Mus musculus: one gene and its partner. The protein of the gene in region 1 purifies or fractionates together with the protein of each later gene. This does not show direct contact. Links are inferred from orthologs where the notes say so. Each region holds a gene or a part of one and is shown on either strand. Other genes may lie near its edges.

The links.
Region 2: the proteins of Fbxo10 (region 1) and Acsl4 purify together in Homo sapiens (affinity purification with western blotting; 3 studies listed by BioGRID, with this or other methods). This does not show direct contact. The link is inferred for Mus musculus from reciprocal best matches to the Homo sapiens genes FBXO10 and ACSL4.

The regions. Positions count from the first base shown.
Region 1 is NC_000070.6:45,079,589-45,090,139, reverse strand, and holds the start of Fbxo10 (F-box only protein 10), read left to right. Parts: upstream 1-5,535; 5' UTR 5,536-5,650; intron 5,651-10,551. UniProt on the Homo sapiens protein: Substrate-recognition component of the SCF (SKP1-CUL1-F-box protein)-type E3 ubiquitin ligase complex. Mediates the ubiquitination and degradation of BCL2, an antiapoptotic protein, thereby playing a role in apoptosis by controlling the stability of BCL2.
Region 2 is NC_000086.7:142,385,612-142,396,064, reverse strand, and holds the start of Acsl4 (long-chain-fatty-acid--CoA ligase 4), read left to right. Parts: upstream 1-5,529; 5' UTR 5,530-5,760; intron 5,761-10,453. UniProt on the Homo sapiens protein: Catalyzes the conversion of long-chain fatty acids to their active form acyl-CoA for both synthesis of cellular lipids, and degradation via beta-oxidation. Preferentially activates arachidonate and eicosapentaenoate as substrates.

The sequences.
Region 1 (10,551 bases):
TCCCAACAAAGTGGCAACCTACAGAATGGGAAAAGATTCCTACCAACTGCACATCCAAAGGAGGGCTAATATCATAGGTATATAGAAAGAATTTAAAAAAAAAAACCTAGATATAAAAAACAATCACCAAATAACCTAATTTTAAAACGGGGTAGAGACCTCAACCAATCCTCAATAGTGGAAACACAAACGGCTAGAAACATCCTTAGCCGTCAGTGAAATGCAAATCAAAAGTACTTTAGGATTTCATCTTTGTTATTTTTGTTTTGTTGTATTTTGTTTTGTTTTGTTTTGTTTTTGAGACAGGGTTCCTCTGTGTAGCAAGCCTTGCCTGTCCTGGACTTGCTCTGTAGACCAGGCTGGCCTCCAACTCACAGAGAACTGCCTGCCTCTGCCTCCTGAGTGCTTAAGTTCGTCAGAGTGGCTAAGATCAGTAAAACAAGTGACCGCTCCTGCTGGTGAGGATGTAGAGTAAAGGGAACATTCCTCCATCGCTAGTGGGATGCAAACTTGTACAGCTACTATGGTAATCAGGGTGGTGGTTCCTCAGGAAGATGGGAATCGATCAACTTCAAGATCCAGCTACACCACTCTTGGGCATACACCCAAAGGATGCTTCATCCCACCACAGAGACACTTGCTCAACCATGTTCATTGCTGCTCTATTCATAATAGCCAGAATTGGAAACAGCCTAGCAGTCCCTCAAGAGGAGAGTGGATAAAGAAAATGTGCTACATTCACACAATGGAGTACTCTTCAGCTGTTAGAAAAATATAACATCCTGAAATTTGCAGGTGAATGGATGGAAATAGAAAGAAAAATCTCCCTAGGGAAATATAGCTAATTACGGATGCGGGGGGGGGGGGGGAGGCGCTGGAGTGAGTGGACCAAGTGGAGAGGAGGAGAGAGGAGAGACAGCTAAAATCAAGACCCTCTGACAGGTAGAATGAAAATCTAAGCAATAGAAGCTTCCTGAAATGTATACAGATATGAAGGGGATGAAGGGGATTAAATAATGGGGAGACAGAGTCCCAACTCTTCATCTCACCACCAAATGAAGCCTCCAGTACTGGGATTGGGTTACATCTAATTGAGTTGTTGGCCAAAGGGATCTCATGGGAATCCCCAGACGTCCCAGGCTGTTGCCAGGACTCTAAGGCTGCGCTCCACAAACTGACAGCAAGGCCCCACGGCTGAAGAAAAAACCTACACAATCCACTGGACATGGAGAAGCTGAGCTGAGACCTACAGAGCCTTCACTTCTATGTTCCAGCGGCTTTGGTTACAGGAAGGTACTCTGCATGCCACCAAAAAAGACATACGAACAAACACCAAGCCAGCCACAAGCCCTTTGATGGACAGTGGGATTCTGAAAGATGTGCCAGGCAGTGGTGGCACAAAGCTTATGGGAGTAACCAACCAAATAGCTGGTTTCACTTAGGGCCCGTCCCACAGAAAGGACCCATACCTGACATGGCTTGGGTGCCCAAGAACCAGAGGCTAGATATAAGGTAAAATAGAATGCTACTAGACTATTAAAAAATGTAGTAATAAAATGACTCCTGGGAACATTCTGCTATACTTAGCTCAGTGTCTGATTCAGCCGCTGGGGAAGCCTCCTTCAGCAGCAGATGGAAACACATACAGCAGAGAGTCACAGACAGACATTATGCAGAGAGTGAGAGACCTTGGAACACTCCGCCCCGAGTGGGATGTCTCCACCAAATCCTGCCCCTCTGGTCTTGGTCTTAGGGAACCCCTCAGAAGAGGATGCGGAAGAGTGTAGGAGCCAGAGCAGATGCACCAGGAAAACAATGTGACCAAAACTCCTATGAAGGCTGGAGATGGCTCAGTGGTTAAGAGCACTGACTGCCCTGCGAGAGGTCCTGAGTTCAATTCCCAGCATCCACATGGTGACTCACAATCATCTGTACTGGGATCCAGTGCCCTCTTCTGGTGTCTGAAGACAGCCACAGTGTACTCATGTACATAAAAATAAATAAGTCTTTCCTCCTGTCCATCTCCAATGTGATAGATAGGGTTTGGCTTTTTTAAGTTACTATATTTTATTTTGTTATATTTTATTATTGTCCCTTAGGGACAAAAGCCTGTTTGTTGATGCTGTTGTCTTTTTTAATATATGTGATTTATTTATTTTTATATATGTGAATACACTGTCACTGTCTTCAGACACACCAGAAGAGGGCATCAGATCCCATTACAGATGGTTGTGAACCACCATGTGGTTGCTGGGAATTGAACTCAGGACCTCTGTCAGGGCAGTCAGTGCTCTTAACCTCCGAGCCACCTCTCCAGTCTGTTGTTGTTGTTTCTAATGAGAGACAAAAGAGAATGGATCTGGATGGTAGGGGATGTGGGAGGAATTGGGAGGAGTAGCGGGAGGGGAAACCATAGCCAGGATATATTGTATGAGAAAACAATCTACTTTCAATAAAGGGAGAAAAAATGAAGACGAAGAGCTTTTGAGAAAGATGCTCAACGGTGACTTCTGGCCCTTTCTCCTCCCATGGACATGTACATACATGTACAAACACACACACACACACACACATACATATACCACAGAGACATAGAAAGAAAGAAAAAAAAAGATATAGCAGATGTACAATGATATTTCTGCTTTTGAAACTGGATGTTCTATTGGCAGCCGCCTCCCCAGGCAGCCGCTCAATGTGTTTATTTTCAGCTTCCATAAAAATTCAGTTAAGAAACTGATATGGAGACATGGATACATAATGTAAATATTGTGGGTTGTTGGAACATAGAGATATGCATGTGGAAAGAACACTAGAATCTGGAGTTCACAGTCCTGAGTAACAGCTTCAGCTTCCTAATATAAATTATGGGAGTCTGAGTTTTTAGTTGTAAACATTAAAATCCAACTTTGGCAGTCGTGAGGAAAAATATTTTATTAGAAATTGTGATGGTTTGTATATCCTTGGACAAGGGAGTGGCACCATCTGAAGGTGTGGCCTTGTTGGAATAGGTGTGGCCTGGTTGGAATGGGTGTGTCACTGTGGATGTGGGTATAAGATCCTCACCCTAGTTGCCTGGAAGTCTTCCACTAGCAGCCTTTGGATGAAGACATAGAACTCTCAGCTCTGCCTGTGCCATGCCTGCCTGGATACTGCCATGCTCCCACCTTGATGATAATGGACTGAACCTCTGAACCCGTAAGCCAGCCCCAATTAAATGTTTTTTATAAGACTTGCCTTGGTCATGGTGTCTGTTCACAGCAGTAAAACCCTAACTAAGACAGAAATATAAAGGGAATTTGAGGATCACCAGGAAATCTAGAGAATCAGGCTAGGATGCCAGGTAACTGGAACACCACTATTTGCTGACCATTGGATCCCACTGGAGGGATGCAAGCTCACAGCTTTCAGGGTACCCAATGATGCTCTAGTCAAGCTGCTGGTGTTGCTTTGGAGCTGTTACATAACATGTAGGCCTCAGTTCTGCACAGGGAATGTTTATTTGTACAATTAGAGTTAAGTGGGAAGACAGAACCGATCTAGAGTTTCAACTTCCATAACAAAATACCTGGTTTGGTTCTCAACAAGCTCATCATTGAAGACCCCCCGTAAGGTAGGAAGAGAGCTGAGACCCGCAGGCAGCCGAAAAGGATGATAGCTGTTGGGTTACCTGTGGCCAAATGACTCTGCCTGAGTCTAATCTCTCTATAAAGCAAAAGTCTACATGGCCGTGGAGACTGTATGTGCCCTCGTTCATTTGCTATAAATACGAATGACATGCCAGGCTGCTAAGGTGAGCAAGCCCACTCCAGTCAAATGAAGTAGAGAAGTCAAGAGACAAGAGCATTACACACATGGTGGGATGGAGGCCTGCGCCAGACAGATGAGGGTAAGAAGAGAGGAGCAACCAGTCGCTTACAAATACTGTTCTTGTGCACAGACATGCATGTAGCCAAAGCACACTTACGCATAAAATAAAAATAAGTAAATCTTAAATAAAACGCCACTGTCTTGACGTTTAAATGTTTATACAAGAAATAAAATCCCCCCGCCCCCGTGGCACCTTTGGACAGATGAAGAAGACAGACAGCATGCTGTGTTAGACGGGCCCCATTGTTGTCCTTTGAATGTCCTAACCTTTTTAGAGAAATGCCAACACAAACAATAATGTTTGATAGCACAAATCCAGGAACTCAGGCTTTTAATTGGGTATTGAAATTCATATTCAGCCTGCTGGTTTCATACAATGGGCCACTTTTCAAAGGATTAGACGTGCGATCGGTTTGCCAAACGTAAGCGACGTCTAAGCATGGCCTTTCCACTACATCTGTGTGCTTGCTGAACAGCTCTCGGTCAGCATTCAATTGTTGGGTTTGGGTCTAGGTGTTTTGTTTGGGGTTTAAACAAATGAATCGTTGAAGGCTGGGATGTAGGGGGGTACAGGGGGTACAGGGGGGTAGCACTTGCTCAGCATGTGCAAGACCCTGAATTTGCCTTAACCACTGCATAAAACAACACCCCCCCCAAATTTGACTTTACTGCAAAACTGTCTCAGATCCGTGTGTGTGCCCCCATATCCACTTCCAGTACTTCAGGCCAGTCTCTACTTCTCTTGTCTTCTCAGCACAGAGTATCGAACACCTGCATTCTCCCCCTTCAATGGCTTCCTTTATCATGGCTTATGAAATACTGATGACCTCTAATACCCTTTTATCTAAGACCTCGGGATGGTGGGATACAGGGTTGGAGAGACAGCTTACTAGTCAGGAGGTTTATTGCTCTTGCAAAGGATCCACTTGGTGGCTCACAACTGTCTATATTCAAGTTCCAAGGGCTCCGGCTCCCTCTTCTGGCTTCCAGGGCCCCCTGTGTGCACATAAATCAGGTGCATAAAATACGCATAAAAGTAAAAAAAATCTACAAAAAAAATATTTTTTCTTAGGAGTCGTCTTGTCTCCCTCAGCGCAGGAGCTTTCTCTGGCCTCTTTCACATAGCTACTCTCATGAGGTCATCACATTCCTCAAACCCTAGTTTTCAACCAAAGAGCTCTTTTCATGTACTTCATATAATTTTAAATACATATGGACTTAAACAGCTTTTCCGGTTTATCCTCTCCGCCACAGAGTGGATTTCAGAACAGGAGCCACCACCGCTTTGTTCTCTTGGGCCCATAACTAGTAGTTGGTGCAACAGGTACTACACACATCATTTGCGTTGTGCCAAACGTTTTCCACACAACCCACCCATGGCCCCAAGTCCTTCCTGACTTCTAGCTGGGCTCAGGGTGACTCCAGCTCCTATGTGCTCATATGCACGGAGCCCAGGGTGCTGTTAGGCTATAGTGGTGATGGGAAGGATCCGCCCGCTTCCAGGCCCCTAGGAGCCTCCGGCAGTTCCCGCCCACGATGCTGTTCCCACCCCTTCGGAGGCCACGCTCGCCCTCCATCGCCGAGCCCCGCTCGCCCCGCCCTCCTTCCAGTCTCACGGCCGCGCGCGCTCGCAGGCCAGCCCTACACCCGCGTCACGTGACAGCCACCGGGGGCGGGGCTCGCGGCGAAGTCGGACCCCGCTGTGGCCGAGCGCCGCAGTCCTCCGGCAGCCCTGCGGCTTCCAGGGCGTCGCGGCCGCGGCCGGGCAGCGCCGCTCCCTGAGGTAAGAGGCGCAGGAAGGAGGCTTCTCGGGAGCCCGCGGATGCTCCAGGCTCACCGGCCGCTCGGTCCCTCCGTGGGCCCAGCGTTTGGCTGGGGTGCGGGGACCGGGCCTGGGGGCACTGCGGGAGGTGGGGGGCCTCGGCTGCCGGAGCTCCGGGAGAGCTGTGCCCCCGTCCGCCCCCACCCCGGACCCACCCGCGGTCGCCTCCAGCCCCAGGGCTTTGCAAGTGTCTGAGAGAATGAATGCGATTTTGCGGTTTGCTAGCCTTCACCTGGGATGCAGGAGAGAGCGTGCAGTCGCGCACCCAGTGGGTCTGGTTTTAACAAGTCGCGGAGACTCGGTTTCCGCAAATCTTTGAAGGAAGAGGGGACGACCCCCTGCCCGGCCTCCCTCCTGCACTGATGGCAGAGCCGTTTGGAGAGCCAGAACTCCGGAGTTGGTGTTAGTTCCATCCACCACCCACTAGCCAGGCAACCTTGAGCCACGTCGGTGGTGCTTCTGTTAAAAGTAGAGATGATGTAAATGAGCTAAATACCTAATAAAAAATGGAAAAAAAAAATAAATAAATAAAAGTAGAGATGAATTCTTCGGCCCGAGGTTGCTGTGAGGATTAAGCAGGAAACGTTGAGGACTCCTTAGAGAGCACTCTCCGTGTGAGCATTGTTAAAATAGCAATCTAGGAGTCCATGATAGACGTCTTTCTCGCAGTAAGCACACCGTCCTCTGTGAATGTGATTCTGAAAAATGTGTCGTTTTGGCTGAGGAGCCCTCTCCCCTTTCCCAGGCCCCCTTTGCCTTCTGTTTCATATTGGCATGTGAACCTGTTGTTCCTACCGAATGAGTCAGGCAGGATGGGAACGCTAATTTACTTGAGCAGATGGGTATCAGATTCCCTCTGAGGGGAAAGAAAACTGTCAGGCATGTGCTATCACAAAAAAAAAAAAAAAAAAAAAAAAAATACAGTAGGGTGATTGACTGTCTACTGGAAGATGCCTAGGAGCCCATGGAATCCAGCCGTCTCCTGCACACAGAGAAGCTAGACCAAGAACGAGGCCAGGACTTTGATTTTGCTCAGCCATCAACACTGTTGGCCTTGGGTAGTAGAAAGAATGCTTGAGCTTGCCTATGTTCTAACTCAACTGTTCGTTTATTCTGGCAACAAGATCCAGACAATGGTGTCTGCCCCCATGGAGCTGTTTGCATAGCTAGCTATGTTAGTTATATAAAAGTCTGTATGTGCACACACAGGTGTGTGTGTGTGTGTGTGCGCGCGCGCGTGTGCTCACGTGAGTCCATGTCTGTGTGTGTCTGTGCCCCTCTGCTGGTTTGCGGTATGTTTTATGATAACAATAAGCTTTCAGCTCCCAGAGAGCTGGCCTCATAGCATCTGGCCCCAGGAGACCAGCACACAGGAGAGGCTTGAATTGTTTCATGATCCCTGTCAGGTCTCCAGTCCTGGTGGAAGCTTGCTGAGATTTGGAGACGGGAGAAAATGGCACACTTTGTCAGAGCTTTTAGGAAAGGATTTCCTCTGGCTTGGAATGCCTGGATTTCTTTGTCTCTCTGGTCTCTGGCCTCTTATTGTTTTTAGATATCTAAAGAGAGCAGCCCTCAACACGGTGCCTTCATTTTGGTTTCCATGGTTATCAGGGGAATTACGTTTACATGATGGCACCGGTAGCTATTGAGCTGTGTGGCCAACCACCAGTCACTCGTCTGTCGTTCTGGCTTGTTTCGTTTTTTTTTTTTTTTCTTTTTCCAGTTGCAGTGCAGACATATTCTCCCTTTTCTTATTTCCTCCTTTCCTCCTGCTCTTCAACAAGTGACAGTGTGAAGAGGGATGGGATGGGAATGAGAGCCAATGAAATAAAGATAGACATGGGAGAATGTAGAATCCTTTTTTGGCCCATCCCATTGGTGGTGGTGATAATGGTGGCAGCAGTGGTGGTGGTGATGATGGTGGTGATGATGCAGATGCGGAGCTGTGGTATAAGACTAAGGGTATCGTCAGGTGCGAGGGTCAGGTCCGTGGACCTCTGGAAAGATGCAGATGGTGAATCAGCCTGAGCTCGCAGAGGCAGACAGACAGTGTCCTGGGCAACAAGAATGCCTCACCTGCTTTTCAAAGGAGATGAGAGAGAAACGTATTCCTTTAATGGGCCGCAGTCACAGAGGGATTACCACATAGCACAGTAGCATTCGTGCCCTGAGTTTCCATTAATGGATGAGCCGCCTCTCTTTTTTTGGGGGGGGGGGTGGGGGTGGGAGGGAGGTTTTGAGACAGGGTTTCTCTGTGTAGCCCTGGCTGTCCTGGAACTCACTCTGTAGACCAGGCTGGCCTCCAACTCAGAAATCCGCCTGCCTCTGCCTCCCAAGTGTTGGGATTAAAGGCGTGCGCCACTACTGTCCGGCTCGCTGTTCCTTCTCCAAGTCGCCTGTCCTGGGCTTTGTGTGAACGAGCTACGGATTCTCCTGTCAGCTTGGGGATTTGTTTCCCTACTCACCTAACGTAATGGGGTTGTTAACATAAAGGGGCACTAGAGTAACACCTGTGTATGAGCCATTTGTTTCGGGTGAGATGTTTAACCAGTGTGTCTAATCTCTCAAGTTGGCCACCTGACTGACACAGTCACATATTGGTTTATTTTTTTCTAGTATTCTGCCAAGTAATCCAAGGCCTTCATTAGTAAGGATTCTAAACTCTCTGGAGGCTTCTGTTGCCCAGAGGGGTCCTTCTTGTCACTCTCAGAGGAGAGAGAGCTGTGAGTGCTGCACCCAACTGTTATCTCTGACCGCCGTGTGATGTCACTGGAAGAGCTGCCCCGCACAGTCCAAGGATGTGTAGTAATTGCTGCTCAGTGTCCTTTAGGGACCAGATCCCTGTCAGTTAGTCGGATCCCTGCCAGTCAGATCCCTGCCAGTCAGTCGGATCCCTGCCAGTCAGTCAGATCCCTGCCAGTCAGTCAGATCCCTGCCAGTCAGTCAGATCCCTGCCAGTCAGTCTGATGCCTGCCAGTCAGTCGGATCCCTGCCAGTCAGTCAGATCCCTGCCAGTCAGTTGGATCCCTGCCAGTCAGATCCCTGCCAGTGCCAGTCAGTCAGATCCCTGCCAGTCAGTTGGATCCCTGCCAGTCAGATCCCTGCCAGTTAGTCAGATCCCTGCCAGTCAGATCCCTGCCAGTCAGTCAGATCCCTGCCAGTCAGATCCCTGCCGGTCAGTCAGAACCCTGCCAGTCAGTCGGATCCCTGCCAGTCAGTCGGATCCCTGCCAGTCAGTCAGATCCCTGCCAGTCAGTCGGATCCCTGCCAGTCAGTCAGATCCCTGCCAGTCAGTCAGATCCCTGCCAGTCAGTCAGATCCCTGCCAGTCAGTCAGATCCCTGCCAGTCAGATTCCCTCTGGACTCTCAGGTTAGAGCTTTCTTTAGTTCCCAAAGCACCACTTCCTGGGCCTTGAATTGAGCTTGCTCCTAGGCTGACTTCTTCTATCCTTCAGGGGTCACCGCTCGTCACTGAGATTTCCTCCCGCCCCTTTCAAGTCTTTTATCTGAATTTAAGGCCTCCATCGCCCTTCCTTTTCCTATGCTTAACCCGAGTGAGTCCCTTTGGTAAACTAGTTCTGCTTTGTCATGGGGTTTTACCTAAGCAGAGATCCTCAGGAATGGCAGTTTTCAACACGCCACCCAGGTCGTTAGGTACCTCTTTCAGCCTTGTTCTCCCAAGTGCAAAAAGGATCTTCGGGTGATTCTTGACAAAGCATCCATGTGTTCCCAGGCGACTGTTTCCACCTGCAGTCTTAGGTGAGGCAATTGCAAACATCCTCAGCTCACCCCCTGCTTTAGTGGAGGTGGGGCATGCTTGCAATCTCATCACTCTATAGGGTAGGGCAGGAGGATCAAGAGCTTAGGTCCACCCAGGCTTCGTGAGACTTTACTGAAAGAAAAATGAAAAAGAATATGCTCTACTGAAAGCAAAGCGTGTTTGGTATATGCAGTGTTAGGAGTTTGGGAACCAAGGTTTTAAATTGAAGACAAAGGATTGCATCCAGGCAAGGTGACACTATCATCCCAGCTCTTGAAAGACTGAGGCAGGAGGATTTCTTGAGCCTAGGAGTTTGAGTAAGTATGGCAAGATCTCAATCCAGAAACAAACAAAAGCCCGGTTAGGAGGGTTTTTGTTTGTTTTGTTTTGTTTTGTTTTTAATGATGGTTTTTATGTTCTTTCAATTTTTCTAAGAATCAGTATGTTTATTTCACTATCTTTGTTTTGAACATTTTTTTACTCTGAAAGATAATATATACAGATGTGGCACAGATGTATAGTTTGGCAAATAGTAGTGAGGTAAGTCACAGTGTAAACACTGCAGCCTTAAGAAATGGAGTGTGGTCAGAGCTTCCTTCCAAGCCTGAGCTCCTCCCCCAGAGGCTGCCATCTTGACCTGTGGATGGCCGTCTCTTTGTCACATGCCTTGTGTGTGTGCATCTATCTCTACACAGTGCCGTTTAGTTTAACTCCATGCGTGTGAGATCACCCTGTCTGTATCCTGGGTTTTGCTGCTTTTGCTCAGTGTGTCACTGGTGTGATTAGGTCACAGTAAGTTCAGTCAGCAGTGGGTGGGCACTGGGTTACCAAGGACGTTTGCAAACATAGTCTCTCTTTCTTTTTTAAAAGATTTATTTATTTTTATGTATTTATCTGAGTACACTGTAGCTGTCTTCAGACACCCCAGAAGAGGGCATCAGATCCCATTACAGTTGGTTGTGAGCCACCATGTGGTTGCTGGGATTTGAACTCAGGACCTCTGGAAGAGCAGTCAGTGCTCTTAACCACTGAGCCATCTCTCCAGCCCTAGTCTCTCTCTTTTAAATTGCATTTACTCATTTGTTTGTGTAGCGGTAGGAGA
Region 2 (10,453 bases), on another chromosome or scaffold:
TCTACACAAATGCTGCAAGTAGATGTTTTATGAGTACATTTTCATTTCATTTTCCTTCTGATGGGTCTTGTAAGTGAGGTATATTATTACCTCCACTTCGCAGGTGAAGAGCTTGAGATTGAGAAACAGGTTGCATGGCTTGCTGTAGGATGATTGGCCCAAGTCCACATCCCAGGTGGTTTCCCCTCCTACTTCGTTGCCCCTGTCATTGATCTACCAGCTATAATAATGGGTGACTCTGAGGAAAACACACTTAAAAAGGTATTATTTTACTAGCCATTTAAGAATATAATTGCCGGGCATGGTGGCGCACACCTTTAATCCCAGCACTCGGGAGGCAGAGGCAGGCGGATTTCTGAGTTCGAGGCCAGCCTGGTCTACAAAGTGAGTTCCAGGACAGCCAGGGCTATACAGAGAAACCCTGTCTCGAAAAACAAACAAACAAACAAACAAACAAGAATATGACTTATGGGATCTTCTTGTGTGTTAGAGGGGAAGGATAGAGGATTTGAGTGAGTTACAAGGTTGGTGATCTTGGGTTGGGGGGATGGCTCAACAGTTAAGAGTACTGATTGCTCTCCTGAGTTCAATTCCCAGCAACCACACGGTGATTCACAACCATCTGTAATAGGATCCGATGCCATCTTTTGGTATGTCTGAAGATATCTATAATGTACTCATATAAATAAAACTTTTTTGTTTGTTTGTTTGTTTGTTTTTTCGAGACAGGGTTTCTCTGTAGACCAGGCTGTCCTCAAACTCAGAAATCTGCCTGCCTCTGCCTCCCAAGTCCTGTAATTAAAGGCGTGTGCCACCACTGCCTGGCAATAAATCTTTTTTTTTTTTTTTTTAAAAGACTGGTGATCTTTTTATCTAATATGATCAGACTAAAAGCACAAAGATAACTTTCTTACAGATTTGATGACTTCTAGCATCTCTCACTCTCTCTCTCCCTCCTCCTCTCTTCCCCTTCCCTCCCCCTCCCCTCCTCTCCCCCCTTCCCCTCTTTATCCCCATCTCTTTTCTTTCTCTCCCTCCCTCCCTCTCCCCCTTCTTCCTGGCTTTATGAACAATATATTTTTTTCCTTCTTTGGAAAGTTGCTAAAGCATTTTTTGTCAAGGAACACTGCCAATATTTATTTAGGGAGCTTCGGAGTTAGCTTTAAAAAGGACATTGAAGGAGTCTCGAAAGAGAAACTGAAATAAAGTTCCATTAAAACTCTAGTGCCTGCAGCTCTGAGTGCCTGTATGATTTCTAGCTAGTCCATGTGGCCTTGGGGTTGGTGGGGTAGGGTATTGCCAATTGATAGATTCTGGAGTAAGGAGAGCTGGTTGTTTTAAAAGATGTGGCCCCTAGTTGGGTGTGGTGGCGCACGCCTTTAATCCCAGCACTTGGGAAGCAGAGGCAGGCAGATTTCTGAGTTCAAGGCCAGCCTGGTCTACAGAGTGAGTTCCAGGACAGCCAGGGCTATACAGAGAAACCCTGTCTCGAAACCAAAAAAAAAAAAAAAAAAAAAAAAAAAAGATGTGGCCCCTAGTAAACTGAGCAAGCCCTAGGGACTGGTCCCACCACATGAGTACATAAGTGGTACCCATAGGAATCAGTGGGTTATAAAAACAAGAGATGAAGTTGGGAGAGGGGATAGGAAGTGGAGAGGTAGATCCAGGAGGGGTTATGGCGAAGTGTGTGTGTTTGTGTGTGTGTGTTGGGGTGAATATGATCAAACTCTCCATGTGTTTGAAATGCTCCAGAAATTAGTAACAATATTATATATTTTAAAACCTACTGTCTTTATAGATTAACTTGGCAATACCCAAGTCACTAGACAAATCAGCATCATTAAACGTCCTATTTTAAAGCATTAGACGGATTTCCATTTGCTTAGGTTTGTGCAGTGAGTCTGAAGACCAGTGAAATATATCAGGATAAAAATAAATGACTATGAGAAAAGATAAAACAATGTTCAAAATAATACTTATATCTAATCAGTATACCTTTGACCATTTTTGTGGTTTTCATTTGATAGAGGAGACCAAACCCAGAGACTTACTGGACTGTGCCTTCAGCCCTGATTTTGAGCACTTTTGAAAAGTCAAAAAGTTTAGTTTATTATTTCGTTCCCAGTGAGATCACCTCCTGAGGTTTCTGGTTTCACTAGTTGCTTCACACACACCACTAAAGAAAATATTTTGCCTGGTTATCAGGTCTGTAAAAATAAAGTTTGTTAATGGCAAACTCTAACATAATTTGTATATTCAAATATTATCACAAAGTCCTGCTGCTTGTATTTGGGCTCCAGGAGGAAATTATTATTCTAGTAACTCAAGAAGTAAGTTTAAGATGCAGACTTGGTACGTAGTGAAGAACAGTTGTTTTCTGTCCTTCCATAAATAACTAATGCCAAGAGCAGGCTGGCTATCTGTTTCAGCTTCTTATTACACGAGAGCAAAGCTACCAGGCACTAAATATCCATTTAAAAATCTGCTAACAGAGCGGCCTTGTTCAATTCCATTTAGCTTCTAGAAGCTTTATTTTTCTATACTTTTTTGAAAAAGGGCTTTGAAATGAATTTTTAACATTAGCATACTTAGAAGTAGGTTTCATTAGGACATTTTATACATATTTGTATATGTATAAAATAGTGTATGCACTTATTTGTCTCTCTGTCCTACTGTCCTCAGTCCTTCTTCTCAGTACCTCTTCTGTTTTTTTTTCTTTTTTTTTTGTCATGCCTATGCCTTTTTTTTGTGTTGTATTTTGTATCTTGAGAGTTGCAGCTTGTATTTTCCTTCCTTTTCCTTTGTCTCTAACTTGATTTTGGTGGGATGTTATTGAGTCTACTTTCCAGCAAGCCTCTGGGAGTGGTAGGAATTCCAAGCTCTATTACTAGTTAGGTTTGTGACTGGACACATTGTTTCATTTGCATCTGTCTCCTCATCTTTCAAAGACAGTAATCTTCCATCCTCAAAAGGCATAAAAAAGTTGTAACTGCTCTCAAACCTCAGACAGCTGCCCCGGGAGGGAGGAATGTTTGCTCTGGGGTCATAAGTCTTTCGCTCTGGGGTCATAAGTCTTAGATGGCTTCTCTTGCTTCCCTTTTGTCCCTCCCTCCCTCCCTCCAGTCTTTCCTTTCATTGTCAATATATATAGTGTGATCTTGAGATAGGCTTTCCTTTTGTAGCTCAGGCTGGCCTCAAACTTAGATCTGTCTTAGTGTACAGAGCTGGGATCACAGACCTGTGCCACTTCTCCCTGCTCTTAGTTTTGTTCTTCTTTGACACAGTGTCTCCCCTCCCCCCTCCTCTCTTTGATTTTTCAAGACAGGGTTTCTCTGTGTAGCCTTGGCTGTCCTGGAACTCACTCTGTAGAGCAGGCTGGCCTTGAACTCATGGATCTACACCTGCTTCTGCCCCCCAAGTACCAGGATTACAGAAGTGTGCCACCATGCCTGGCTATTTTACCTCTTGTTGGAGTAATGTTTTTTCTTTATCCTGGGTGTGGTTAAATATGAAGGAAAAGATCTGGTAGGTGATAAAGCTGACCAGGACATTGTGGGCACTAATTAATAGTTTAAGTGATAAAGATTTTGAAAATACAAGTAACTTCTTGGTCCGATATATATGTGTGCGATACACACACACACACACACACACACACACACACACACACATACACACACACACACTCACACTCAAAACCTGATAGCTTTTCTCCTCTATTTAGTCCTTGTAAATTTTGAGGGACTTCTGTAAGCTGAGGACTACTGAGTTCAGAAGAGTTAATTAAAAATGTCTGGGCTACGTGACTGATGATGAAGGAAACTAGAAAAGGTATTTATATTACAAGTTCTTTTTCTGCTTGGGCTAACAGGTTGATTTATATCGAACACTGGGTCTGTGTGGTACTTTTGTTTTAATTCCATTACGAAACTCTAGGTTTGTTGGAGGAATAGATGGTTTGTTCCTTCAATTTTTTTTTTTTTTGGTATTAACTCTGGGATAAATGACAGGTTTCTGTACACTGTAGGTACCTAGTGGACTATATAGCCAACTAATAATTATCTGTTTCTGGCATTACAACAAGGTCTCATAAAAATAAAGATGACAATTAAGTTTGTTGTTTGAAGTCCTGAACTTTCTAGGTCAATCTTGTGAAAGGAAAAGCACATGAGTGCCTTATACCCAAGTTGGTGGCTCTATTGGAAATGAAATGAGTGCTACAGCTGTAGAACAACATTCAAACAAGCTGGACATTTCTGCTCTCAGCCAGGCACACTAATACTGTCATTCGGGGTGCTTCTTCTTCTTCTTCTTCTTCTTTTTTTTTTTTTTTTTTTTTTTGGCTTTTCGAGACAGGGTTTCTCTGTGTAGCCCTGGCTGTCCTGGACCTCACTTTTGTAGACCAGGCTGGCCTCGAACTCAGAAATCCGCCTGCCTCTGCCTCCGGAGTGCTGGGATTAAAGGCGTGCGCTACCACGCCCGGCAGGGGTGCTTCTTAAAAATCCAAAATTAAAAAATTTCACCAAATCAAAACCCACATCAAAACATCTGAGGATTATTTCTCCAGGTATTCCCATTGGAACAAACATCCCAGATGATTATGACACACAAAGCCTAAAGCACTACTGAAGCCAGCAATGTGAGGCAAGCTATTGTACGTGTGTGTAGCAGACACAGTCATTCTGTAAGAGAAATGAAAAGTAGCTAGTAAAACAGCCGTAACAGGAAGCAAAAAAGCAGCCGGTCATGGAACTGGAAGAATAGAATTTCTTCTGGCAACTTATTCTTGGTAGTTTGTTGTGGCTTATTATTCGCAATTACAGTTTTGTCTTGAAGTCCTGAGATACCTTTTGGAATTTATTACGAACAATAATTTCTCAATTCTTGGGGGGATTAAAATGGCCTTTATCAAGAAGTCTCAGAAGCAATAGAATCTCACGGTACTGCACTGACTTTTTATCAGTTGTGGGCTCTTTTGCTGAGTGACGCGCAAAACCCTGCCTTCAGGAAATATTTCATAAGCCCGAGTGAGCAGGGAATCTTAATACAGCTCAAGGCAACAGATAAAAGGATAGAAGGCTTTGGCTTTCAGGAGCTAGGTTAAGATCTCTCTCCCATAGGAAGCACGAGGCAGTCCAAAGATAGGTATCTAACTAAGGGCAGCTGGAAGATGACCCCGGGGGAACTTTCATCCTGGGTGGAGTCCCGGGTAGCCCGCTAGGGCGTGGGCCAGTTCTGCGGCTCTAGACTACTGGGCGCTAAGCCCTCGTGGGCTATTTTGCCCAGCACTGCGGGAGCGGCATGGTGGCTGCGGGCTCAAGGGAGGCTTTAGGCGACCTGCGACCCTTCGGAAGCAGCCCTCCTCCTTTGCAGCAGCTGCAAGCCCGATCGGGCTCCGCCTTTTTGGCGGTGACGTCCTTAGTGAGCGGAGGCGGGCGTGTGGGTGGGCCGAGCCAGAGGCCGCCTGCGATTCGGCGGGCTCAGCCACACCACCGAGCTCCCCCGCTCCGCCCGCCCCTCCGGGCTCGTCTTTTCCGGGCTCGCGCCGGACCCCGCCTCCGCTGGCTGTCCGGGTTGCGCGCGCGCCGCTGCGGCTCTCTCCCTCTCTCTCTCTTTTTTTTTCCACTGGTCTCCGCGGCTCGCCCCTCCTTGCCAGGCAGCTCCAGAGCTAGCGGGCACGCGAGCTCCTCTCCAGGAGCTTCCTTCCTCTTAAGGCCGGGACCCAGTGGCAGACTCGTAGCGAGCGAGGCAGCACCTTCGGTGAGTGATCCTAGGCTGGGGAGGATGCGGCTGCTGCGCCCTTGCCCCGGAGAGTCCCCTATTCCTGACGTGCTCCCGGATCCTCACCTGAGCCGGCTGGAGGTCGGGGTTTGGGGGGTGGGGGTGGGCGCTCGGCTTTCCGGCTGCGGCCGCTGGCTCATGGAGAGAACCACCGTCACTATCTCCTCTGATGCTTTCTGGGATCCTCCAGAACCCCACCTGGCTCTTCCCTGTACCCCCGCTGTACCCTGAGAGCCTGAGAGAACTCTTCCTCCTGGGGGTACCGGGCTTTGCCAAGACTCAGTTGACTTGAGCACACCAAGTGCCTGCTAGACCTCCAAACGACCTTTAGGTCGCCCCTAGACCTCAGCTCCATTTTGTCCCCTCCCTTGACACTCTGTAACAGGGTCCGGGCGCTCGCGGGTGGTGGTGGCGGCGGCGGCGGTGGTGTCTTTGGTTCTAGAAACAGCTGCTTTCTTGAATTTGGGGAGGGTGCCTTCGCTTTCGATAGATACTCTCTCAGCATCCATACCTTTACGTATGTTAGCAAACAGCTGGATCATAGCTGCAGCTTGTACCCTGTGTTCTTCCCGTCTTTATCTCCACGATCAGTAGGTGCTGTATAGTTAATATTAGGTTTATTCACTTCCTCTTCCTCTCATTCGAGTACCGAAAAGATCTGTGGCTGGCTGATGTCTATAGACAGAAAAACCTAGGAGAATGTGATTCATTGCCTAACTGGTTACATATTTGAAATCAGACGTCATTTCTCCTTTTACTCTAGCATCTCCTTCGAAGACATTTTTCCATCCTTTTGAAATTAATTTGCTCATTCGTACTTTTCCTCTTAAAAAAATCGTCAATTCTCACTCAGTAGAAACGACGGTAGGGATGGGAATAAGGGGAAATGAACCTTGTTGAAGAAGTAAGCAGTTTGCTTTACTGGTTCATGGTTTTAATCAACCACTAAGTTTCCTCTTCTGTGGAAATATGCTCAGCTGTCATGCAGTTGGATTCAAGCATAACCGAGGTTCCTTCTCATATTTTGTCTCTTGAACCTGTAAATTCATGCTTAGTGACATGTTTTTACAGATAGTTAACCCAAGAAAGCCATTTCCTGCACTTGTAACTTTAGTTTTTTGTTTTTTTTTCTTTTTGTACTTGCAGTAAGCAAGGCTTCCAAATATTCTTAATGTATAAACCACCAAGTGGAGATCAATTACAGTGCTGCTACTGAGCAGGTCAAGCAAAATTTGAAATGTGAGGCCTCTTTCCTTAAATTGCAAACATAGCTCATCTTTTCAGCGGAGTGTGCAAAAGTGTGAAACATGGTAGACTCCTGTTCAAATTTATGATCTCTGCCATTTCCATGGAGCAACCAGTATTATATTGTCAATATATGTGCAAATTGGGATAAAGGGCCTTGGCATCAATCAGATATAAAGAGTTTTACTGTGTTGGGTAGAGATGTGATGGGTGGAGGAAGAACAAAATCTTGTTCTGAATCCAGACTTCTGGAGATGCTCCAACTCCAGCCTCTCAGCTATACTAGCTATATACACCTTGAACAGGGCACTTTTCTTAGTTTTCACATATATAAATTAAGTGACTGTATGGTTGGCAGGATGATCCATAAATCCCCTCCTTTTGGCTTCCGTTTTTTAAAAAACTAAGATTTTTTTTATGAAGACATATGTATTTTAGTGCACTTCACATTAAGGCTGGGGCTGAATCTTGTTATATCATATATAGAATATCATCTCAAAGATGATAGAATATCATCTCAAAGTTTTCATAGACTAGCTTTAATCAATAGAGTATTAATTAGTTCTTAGCTCGGGTAGTGGTCCAGGACTTTAATCCCAGCACTGGGGAGGCTTAGGTATAGGTGTAGGTCAAGGTGGTGTGAGGCAGAGGCTAAGGCCAAGGCCAAGGCCAAGGCCAAGGCGGCGGGGGACTGAGGCGGAGGCGGGGCCCAGGCAGAGGAGGTGGAGGCTAAGGCAGAGATGGGGAGCAGAGGCTGGCAAATCTGAGTTTGAGTCAGATATCTAAATTAAAGGCTAGCCTGCTTTACACAGTGAGTTCCAGGAGAGCCAAAGCCAACACGGAGAACCATTGTCTCAAAAACAAAACAAAACAAAGGCCAAAACAAGATGATTAATTCTTAAATTCATTCCGACTGTTCAAGTGCATAAATTCAGAGGGAGTGAGTTTTACAAATATTAGGTTAATTTCTACTCGCAGATGAAAGGTATGGATGGGTACCACACTGGGTTGAAGATACTCATGACCTTTAGAATCTTGTAAGGGTGTGAACATACTGCCTTAAAATTGTAATTAGCTAGTAACTTTAAAAGTGTAAACAGAGGGCCTGGAGCGATGGTTTAGAGGTTAAGAGCAGTGGTTGCTCTTCAGAGGAACAAGGTTCAATTCTCAGCACACACATAGTGGCTCTCTTCCCTCTGTAGCTCCCAGTCTCAAGGGATTCAGCACCCTCTTCTGGCCTCTGTGAGCACTAGACATGCCTGTGAGCCACAGACAAACATGTAACTAAAACACCAATGTCCATAAAATAAAAATATTTAGCTGGTTATGGTGGTACATGCTTTTAAGCCCAGCACTTTTTGGGAGGCAGAAGCAGGCAGATTTGTGCTGCAAAGCCAGCCCAGTCTATGTAGAAAGTTCCAGAATAGCCAGGACAACATAGACCCTGTCTTAAACAATAATAATTAAAAATATATTTTAAAAACATATGCAGAGCTGAGCGGTGGTGGCACACACCTTTAATCCCAACACTTGGGAGGCAGAGGCAGGTGGATTTCTGAGTACGAGGCCAGCCTGGTCTACAGAGTGAGTTCCAGGACAGCCAGGGCTACACAGAGAAACCCTGCCTCAAAAAAAAAAAAAAAAAAAAAAAAAAAAAAAAAAAAAAAACAAACCAAACCAAACCCAAAACCCAAAACCCAAACAACAACAAAAACCAACCAATCAACCAAAAAACATATGCAGAAATCTCACTCATTCTATTTATAATTCATTCCACTCTCCTGTTCTTCAGGATGTGATGGTTAAGAGGACATCACTTATTCTATGAAATTGTAGACTAAGAGGATGGGTGGCGTGGTTTTAGTGAGACACATGGACATATAGTTTATTAAACTAGTAAGATTTAAGTTGGGATGAACAAAATCCCCTCAAAGTTAAGCCTTAATAGGGGCAGAAGAGATCATCATATTTTATTATTGGCTGTTTGTTTGGTTTCTCTGTGTAGCCTTGACTGCCCGGGAGGTCAACCTGCCTCTGCCTCACGAGTGCTGGGATTAAAGGTTGTACAACTATACCTTGGGCTCTACTGTTGGTTCTTTGTGGCGTTTCTTGTTCTCCTCCCCTCCTTGACTTTCCTTAGGAAAATTAATAAGCTTTGTTTTTCCATTCCTGCTGCTGGCTGATATCATACATTTTATACATTTTCCTTTTTTGATTATGGATTCTGGTATTGTTTTAGATTGTCATACAGTTATTAGGAATAATACCCCAAATCTGATTTCAACCAATGTTATTATCAAAAATAATCAGTATATAACAGGACAACTAAGAAGTTGAAATAAATACAGGGTGTCCATATTCACATTCCACCATTTTTTCTTTTCTTTTTAAAATTTTATTTTTACTCTTGATTTGTATGTATGTGTGCCTGCCACATGTGTGCAGATGCTTTCCCAAGCCAGAAGAGGGCCTCGATGCCTTGGAACAGGAGTCATAGGCATTGTGAGCTGCCCAACACAGGTACAAGGAGCTAACCTCTTGTCTGCAAGAGCAGCAGGCTCTCTTCACTGCTAAGGCATCTGCCGGCCTCACTATTTCAGCACCTTTAGCATGCACTTCTTGTGTGTTTTATTTAGTTCTGCACACTGGTAGCATGTGTTGCTGCTTTTTGGGATCACTGTAGGCAAGTAAGTCATAGAGCAGTTCTGTCCCACTAGGGGCACTTATGTTACCCTTTTATACTTACAGCCACCTCTTAGCTCTCACTGATGTGTTTCTCGGGTCTCTTGTCATTCCAAGAAAGCTAAGTAAATGGGGACACAGACTGTAACCATTTTAGATTGCCTCCTACCACTCGCCTAATTCTTGGAGAGTCATGAGATTTATATCCTTAATCAATAATCTGGTTCTTTTCACTAGTGAGTAGTATATATAGCATGCCATAGATGTATGTTTGACCTCTGATGCTTTCCATGTATGGGTGTACCTTTCCATGCCTAACAATACCATTGCCAGGTTATATAGTACTTGCATGCTTAGATTTCAAAGATTTCCACAAGGGCTACCTACCATTTGACATTCCCATTAGCAACTTTTTGTTTGTTTGTTTACTATATTTATGCTTTTTTTTTCTCCCCCAAGTTCTGGGACTAAAGGCATGGATTGCCTGGTTTAAGGTTGTACTTTTTTTTAACATTTAAAAATGAGTACACTATAGCTGTCTTCAGACACACCAGAAGATTGCGTCTGATCCCATTACAGATGGTTGTGAGCCACCATGTGGTTAGTGGGAATTGAACTCAGGACCTCTGGAAGAGCAGTCAGTGCTCTTAACCTCTGAGCCATCTTTCCAGCACCACGGTTGTACTTTTAATAACAGTTTTTCCCTTCCCTTTTCTCTAAATGTGCTCGTCTACCCCTTGCTGTT